Linked DNA regions of Oryzias latipes. The protein of the gene in region 1 interacts with the protein of each later gene in a biochemical or structural test. Links are inferred from orthologs where the notes say so. Each region holds a gene or a part of one and is shown in the gene's direction. Other genes may lie near its edges.

Region 1 (3,824 bases):
GGCTGTCAGAGTCATTTCGTTCGCACGAATTAATCATTTCGAGGGAACGAAATATTATCTTGTCGGAACGGAATATTATTTTGTGCGAGCAAGATATTGATCTGTGGGAACGAGACATATTTTAATTTTTTAATGTCAGGACACGGGCTCCGTACATTAGAACTTAAACACTGTCCATAAAACCTAACCTGAGAGGATCAGATTTAAAAGGATTTATGCTAGATTAAAAAGCAAACATGTTTTCTATGCAACTGTAATTGTCACTTTAAAAAGTTATAATAAAGAAATGAGTAATTTAACATTAAGGAGGAGTTGCGTTTATTTTTCATTACATTTAGTTACATGTATAAGTTATGTCTGGCCCTTTGAGGACAACCACTATGCTGATGTGGCCCTCAGTGAAAATGAGTTTGACACCCCTGTTGTATGGTATTGGCTTCTTTCTGCAGTTATTAATTTTTGTGAATTTTCAGCTGTGCTGTTTTTTTAATAGGATAATAATGGTGTAATTGGTCTTCTGGAGCCCATGAAAACATGCCCAGTCCCAGTGAAGATCCCCATCCCAGAACCTGCTGTAAAAATTGCCTCAGGTGAGTAAAACCTCCCGGGAATTTGCTTGAAGTTTTATTTAAAGATTCTAGGCTGATTATGGCCCACAGCGGTCAAGGACTCCAAGGACCATATTGTTTTTGCAACGACTGACAAAAACTATATGGTTTAAAAAACTCAAAGGAAAGGAATAAGCCCCAAAAGACATGACCAGTGTGTAGTAAAACACAAAATACAAAGACACAGTCGGTCCTAACCGCAAAAACTTGTAGATTGTTTCTGCAATACTTATGATTCCGCTTTCTATCTGCGCCTTTGAGCGAAAAATTTGACCCCACCACATACACAAAAAAACTCACCAAAATCTGCACACATTCAAAAAAAAAAAAACTTAGTTTCAGATACAAACGAAAACGCGTCCTAGGGATTTTTATCTATAGTCTCGTAACTTCTCGGCCATCAATGGCAAGCCACTGTGGAAAAATGTCAGAATTGGAGGTTGTAGATTTTGGATGGTTGTACGTGGCAAGTTGCAACTGTTGCGATCTTAGCTAGCTCGCACATTTCTTATTGGGGTGTCGTAAAAATTCAATATGCATTTCCCTGGCCCAAGCTGAATAAAACGATGCAACATTCTAGATGACAATGTTAAAATAGTGGGTGTGGTAAACAAAAAATGTCGCAAAAAATTGTGCTGAATCAGCTAAATAAATTTTCTTTCTAAATGGAAATCTACTTACGAAACCAATATACCTTTGTCTGGGATATCCAATGAAAGAAGTTATGAAATAGTTATGAAATACTTATGGAATGGCGACACACCTATGGTTTGTTGGCCATTTTGTGCCAAAATTGGAGATTTGGCGTAGTGGAGTTTTGTCAACATTTGACCTCGGGAAGAGGCCGCCACCTTTAATTAAAAGCAGTTATGGAAAAGATGTTGCAATTAGAAGTTGTACATTTTTAACGGTGTGCGAGTGGTGAGCTAGCTAAAGTGGCATTCTCTTATTACTCGCACATGTTTAAATGGAAAACTGTGAACATTTAATGCATGTATCCATGACTAGAACTGAACAAATTAATATAACATTGGATACAAACATATAAGTAATGTGGGTGTGGTACCAAAACAAAATGATTGCTATAAAGATAAAACTAACAGAAAAGCCGCCGTTTTGAAGAAAGTGGATTTTCTATCAACTTACCACATGTGGCTCTTACCAGTATTAGCATCTGAAGTAAGGCGTTTTTCTGAGTCAGTTGATGATGCTGATAGTATTGCTAGCACTTTTATCCACATGCAGCTCAGACAGCCTATCAGAAAGACAAGTGAGAGTTAGATGTGCGTCGTGACTGCTAAGCAAGCAAGTTCGTTTCAAAGATGGGTGGTGAGAGCGGCGGTGGTGCCTATACCCCTGCGGCGTTGATACATAGAGGCTGATGGCAAGGGCTGGTAGTGCCTGTGGGCTGTACAACACCACTTGCGCCTTGAATTTTTTTTTGTAAAGTGCAAGTAGAGCTGTCCAAAGTGCTCACTTTGTGTCAGTGCATTTGAGCACAAGTCCCTTTACACCAAAACAAATGGAACATTCAAATAAATATAAGCAGAAGTGACTGCTATGAAAACATTAAGTGTACATCATCTTGTTATAAACTAGTTCAAACTGTCTTTGTCAGATGTTTGTCTCCTTGTTGTCTTCACGGATGCTCTGACAGGAAACGACCACTTGGTGTTAGTGACACGGGATGGGAATCTTTACACATCAGGCTGTGCAGAGCAGGGGCAGCTGGGAAGAGTGCCTGAGCATTTTTCAAACAGAGGTGGTAGAAAAGGTCTTGGTAGGTGAAGTTGTTACAACAGCAAAACACTAAACAATATTGTGGTTAAATCTTACCCATGTCATTTTTTTACTCTACCTTGCTGTGGTTTTTAGAGCGACTCCTGGTGCCGCAGATGGTGAAGCTGAAGGGGAAAGTTCACTTTATAGATGCTTTCTGTGGAGCTTACTTTACCTTTGCTGTGTCACAAGAAGGACACGTTTATGGATTTGGCCTCTCAAACTATCACCAACTGGGTAAGTTTGACTCATAAGAGTTTATCCTTAACTCCTTAACTCACTGTGTGGGAATCAACACTTCCCATGAGTCTTAGTGGCCATGGGCGGGGCTAAGCCCCAGGTCCCCACAACATATCGCCCAGCCCTAGCTCCAGCATTCTGCGCACCCACGTGAATAACAAGGAGGGGGGTCAGGCGCTGAGCACAAGCCAATGTGTGTTCTCAGCTCCTGCGCCCAGCGGGAGTAATAAGGAGGGGGGTCAGGCGCGGCGCGCAAGTGAGTCTGTGAGCGCGCATTCAGTTTGTGTTACACAGTTAGGGAGAACAGTAAAAAGGTTTCCTCAAAAAGAACAGAGACTGGTTCTTTTATTAACCCACTCTGGAGGCACTGAGGGCCTGAACGTGCCCGGGCCTTAACACCTGGTGCACCCGGCGTTCGTGAAAATACGGTAGTGATGGCGTGAACTGGAATATGCTTGTTAATTCTTGTCAAACTTATAAAAGCAACAGGGAACATTTGGTTGAACTCCAAGGTTTCATTTGATTATTTCTGAATTATTTGCCCAGGCACCAAAAGCACCAAGATGTGTTTTGTTCCTGTAAAACTGACGTGCTTCAAGAACTCCACCACTACCTGGGTGGACTTTTCTGGAGGACAACATCATACGCTGTGTCTTGACTCTGAAGGTAAACAACACATGAATCCAAATGTATTTGATATTCTACAGAATTTAGCATTTTATCTTCTGAAAAGCTTTTGATGAAGTAGATATTTTTAAAGAGCCTATATCATGCAAAATAAACTTTATTTTTTAGCTTTTAGGGGTATTATAATGTTAACTCTTAACAAAATATAACCCAAGCGGTACATCCATTCATGCATTTCTGAGTATTCCTGGAAAACCCTGGAAAAGTTTTGGAAATTGAAAATGCTAGGTCTTTGAAAAGTTTGTGAAAAACAAAATATTCTGCAAAGTTTTAGTAAAGTCATGAAATTTTAATATTTGGATGCAAAAAACATACAAAATTAAATAGTTTTACACGAGATTCGAATTTGGAAGAAAGTGGAAGTAGTTTAACTTCATGCTGTCGGGATGGGAAATTTTCGTCAACTCGGCGCATGACCCTTTCAGCTTGCTATCGTGAAATGCTACGAAATATGCCAGTGTAGGTAGCTCTGCAGCAGCAGAGCTACGTCCGGATGCTCTTTGTGGATTA
Region 2 (3,824 bases), on another chromosome or scaffold:
AAGGCAGTAAAACTCCTCACTACACACTATAGACTTTTCTCAGACAGACATTCTCACACATTTCTCTCTTGTTTAAACTCAAAGTTCAAACCTTCACAGATGAATACGAACAGTTTTAAAGAATAAAAACACAGAAGTGATCATGATTGAAGATTTATTTTTATGCAGCAAACTGCACGGATTCTGAACAGAAAACACCTCACCGAGATTGATTGACATGGTCTACAGCCAATCGTGGCGCAGAAAAAATAAATAAATAAAATTACACAGAAAAAAAATCTGTTAGGCGAGAAAATGTAATGTAATTCTTTTTGACAACTCATTCATTTGTTGATATTAGGGGTGGGTATCGACGAGTCTGGCGATGCGTATCGCGATACATGTGAGACTTGTTCTCATCTGGAGCCCTCTAAAAATCACCACAACCTGCGTTTTTATATGGCAACAACGTGGCACAGAGGTTCGGTTCGGTACCCATCCCAGACGCTTAAGGACGGTCATCAATAATTAAATAAATGTCGTCTGGACAGCATTTTAAATCGATACAAAAATCGCAATATATCGCCAAATTGATTTTCCCTACATCCCCAGTTGATATGAACAGAGAATATTTAAAAGCCAACAGGCTTGATATTTAACCTAAGGATGAGTAATTTGTAGAACAAGACTGTAGTTTAGGAGGTTTTCCATGCATGAACAGAACAGACGTCTGCCTGCAGAAGAGTCTGTGCTTTTGGTAAAATCCAACATTATTCATGTCACATTTCACTGCTTTAAAAACAAAAGTACAGAGAAAAAACACACCAACAAGATCACGTGATTGAATGATTTACATCAACAGATCAGACACACTGATCAGCACCAATTCCTCCTGTAAATCGTTTTTTTTACAGCTCTGGGGAGCTTCTTTCTAAACGTTGTTGGATTTGTGTGTTTGCACCGTCAAACTGCCCGGTAGGATGAGGAACCGGAGTAAAATCGGGTCATTTGGGAGTTGGATGTAGGCCAAATTTTTAAAGCTGAATAAACAGCAGGATGGTATTTATTGGACGGCGGCAGATCAAATGTGACCACATAAAAGGGAAACGCAGCATTTACCACATTTCTGTGTTTTGCAAAGTACATTATGTTTGTTGCTCCCACAAAAGTGTTGAGTACAAACCACTTTGGGGTCGTTATCTGCCCGTGTCCTGCCAGCTGAATGTACACTCCACGTTAACCTGATGGAGCGTTATTGACCACCGACCTGTACCAGGCCTGACTGTTTTTCCTTTGCTGTGGCGCTCTCTGCTTCGCCACAGATTAGAGCAGGTCATGCAAGCTAATAAAGCCAGAGAGTTGGCAAGACAAAAGTAGAAATAGATCCGACGCCAGAGAGGCTGCCATGCCATTGCACAAGAACTGGATTGCTACACAACTCATCGGCCTCTCTTGAGGTTGCTGTGGTAACTGGACCTGTGGTTGGGGAAGAACATGTCTATTATATGTTACTGTGCTATTCTCCACTAGTTTTTCTCCTGATTTGTTTTCTTCTCTCATGCTGTCTCACCAGAAGAGAAACCTGTGGGATTCCGCTTAAAGCCACCGACTCTAATACACGGACAAGCCCCCAGTTCAGGTAACCTCATGCTCTACATGTGTTTACTAGCATAGAAAGTACTTTGACTTCCAACTTACAAACGTCACACAGATCCTGCAAAAAGGGGGAGGGGCTAGGTTATGTATTTATTGAACTTAGACATCCCAAACATCCCAATCTCTGTTATAGGCGTCCCAAGTCAGAAACCCAAGGAACAGCAACGCAGTGTCCTCCGCCCCGCCGTTCTCCAAGCTCCACCCTCCAAATCACATATAGAGTCAAGTGAGTACATTTTACACTTTGACTGCATTAAACAGTAAAATCCCTTCTAGCCTACACTCAGTGTTCAGGTGAAGCTCTGCACTGTATTTCTGAGGGGAGTTTGAGAATGTGCAGCATATAGAGCTTGTCCGTAGTAGATAAAGAAAATCTTATTCATAAATTAATGATAACCGCTGATAGTCAGGCCTTTTGTTCAAATAAAATATACAAGGAATTTAAAAATGAGTTTATCCTCACAACCTGTGACCTGTGACACTCGCGTGTTATGACAGTGCTTTAGAAGTCAGCTTAAGAGTGAAGACTCAAGAAAAAAACATCTTCTAATTATTAATGAATGGCTTTCAGGTTACTGAACATTTCATGTAGGCTCTATTAAAAAATGTCCTGTCGTTAACTTAATCATTCAAATATTTCCCCAAATCGTCACGTTTCATTAAGTTTTTATTCAAGTGTCGGTAAAGAATAGATTGGTGCCGTGTTAAATCAAATATTTTCTAAGTATTTGGCTATCTACTACATCTGTAAAGGTCATAAGTAAAATGTCTCTTAGTGGAAAAACCAGAAACTTTTCTAAAAAGTAGTGAAAGATGGTTAAGATGTTCTCAAAGTTGCAGAAAGTCATGCTAAAGGATTTCAGTCTCTGCAGAAACTTCATTCATTGATGGTCAGACTCTGTGAAAACGACGGTGGTCATTTTAACATTCCTTCTACGGTTTTAGATTCCAGTTGTGGAACCAATGGCGTGAAAAAGACATCAGATGGAGCGTCTGTGACTCCGTCGCTCTTCTTGAATAACAAAGATCATTCACCCCCATCGGCCAAGTCACTGGTGAGACATGACTGCTGTTCAGTTTAGTCTGGGTCTCTTCCTCTGGGACAGTCTCTGTTAAAATGTGCATAAATGCTGACTAACCCCCCCCACAAATCAGGTGCTCAATGGGGGGCGCTGTTGTCCAAAGCTCGCTCTGACCACACCCAGAAAAATCGTAAAAGAGAAAAGCAGCTACGATGCATCGGAAACAGATGACACCATAACCATGAACGAAGGACGTGTTTATGTTTTTACAAAATGTCTTTAATCATGAAACAAAAAGTAACTTTTACAGATTTGGAATGACAGTATTAGATTATCGGGGGAGTTACGTTCTAAAAGAACCAGCAGTAGGAGAAATCTGTGAAGAAGAGATGTTTTAAGGCTGTAAATCTACACACTTTTCTCTCATTTAAACTCTCAAACTACAGAGTAAAAAAAGGTCCAGGATTAGAGAATGAAAACAAAGATCTGATCCCGATGGAAAATGTCTGTAAATGTAACAAAGTGGACGCATTCTGCACTGGAGACACGACCATTGACAAGGTCTAAAGCCAATCAGGATGCAGAACACAGCGCCCTGTAAAAAAACAAACGTAAAGTTTCAGTGAAAATAAAACCGCTCCACGGGGAGACGGTTTAATTTGTTTTTTTCCCCTTCCTGCTTCTCCCTTTAGGGGGCGCCCTCTCTGCATCCTCCTCTCTCTAGCCTTTGCCCTCGTTTCCTCCTTCTTGCACCTCCTGGTTGGTCCACCTGGACCTGAATTCCAGCCTCCAGGGTGGCAGCTGAGCATGAATTCAGCCTGAAGAGCGTGATTTAAAAAGTAATATAGAGTCATCCATGGAAGGCTTTAGAGCTAAAACCTGCAGAGCCGTCTTCCTTAAGGGGGTTCACTCCTCAGCTGGTGGGACTCCTCCACTTTCACTGCAGTTTTTTGCAAATGCTGTTCAGTTCTGACTTCTTTCCTCACAATAACAAACCTGGAAATACTGGAACACTGGACTCGTGTTAACGAGCTAAAACCCCTTTTCTGTCATCTAATGTTCCTAAATGTGGAGTCGAACAGAATCTGTTTTCTGCTCCGATCTTTATTAGCTTTATATTGGGCTCATTTATATGAAAACATGCTGATTTCCTCCAGTGTCCTTGAG

What was found.
Region 2: the proteins of rcc1 (region 1) and ranbp3 form a complex in vitro, tested with the Homo sapiens proteins (2 studies listed by BioGRID). The link is inferred for Oryzias latipes from reciprocal best matches to the Homo sapiens genes RCC1 and RANBP3.

What each region holds. Positions count from the first base shown.
Region 1 is NC_019874.2:66,526-70,349, reverse strand, and holds part of rcc1 (regulator of chromosome condensation), read left to right. Parts: intron 1-493; coding exon 494-590; intron 591-2,265; coding exon 2,266-2,388; intron 2,389-2,483; coding exon 2,484-2,624; intron 2,625-3,173; coding exon 3,174-3,293; intron 3,294-3,824. UniProt on the Homo sapiens protein: Guanine-nucleotide releasing factor that promotes the exchange of Ran-bound GDP by GTP, and thereby plays an important role in RAN-mediated functions in nuclear import and mitosis.
Region 2 is NC_019875.2:30,546,272-30,550,095, forward strand, and holds part of ranbp3 (ran-binding protein 3), read left to right. Parts: intron 1-1,552; coding exon 1,553-1,618; intron 1,619-1,768; coding exon 1,769-1,861; intron 1,862-2,580; coding exon 2,581-2,690; intron 2,691-3,824. UniProt on the Homo sapiens protein: Acts as a cofactor for XPO1/CRM1-mediated nuclear export, perhaps as export complex scaffolding protein. Bound to XPO1/CRM1, stabilizes the XPO1/CRM1-cargo interaction. In the absence of Ran-bound GTP prevents binding of XPO1/CRM1 to the nuclear pore complex.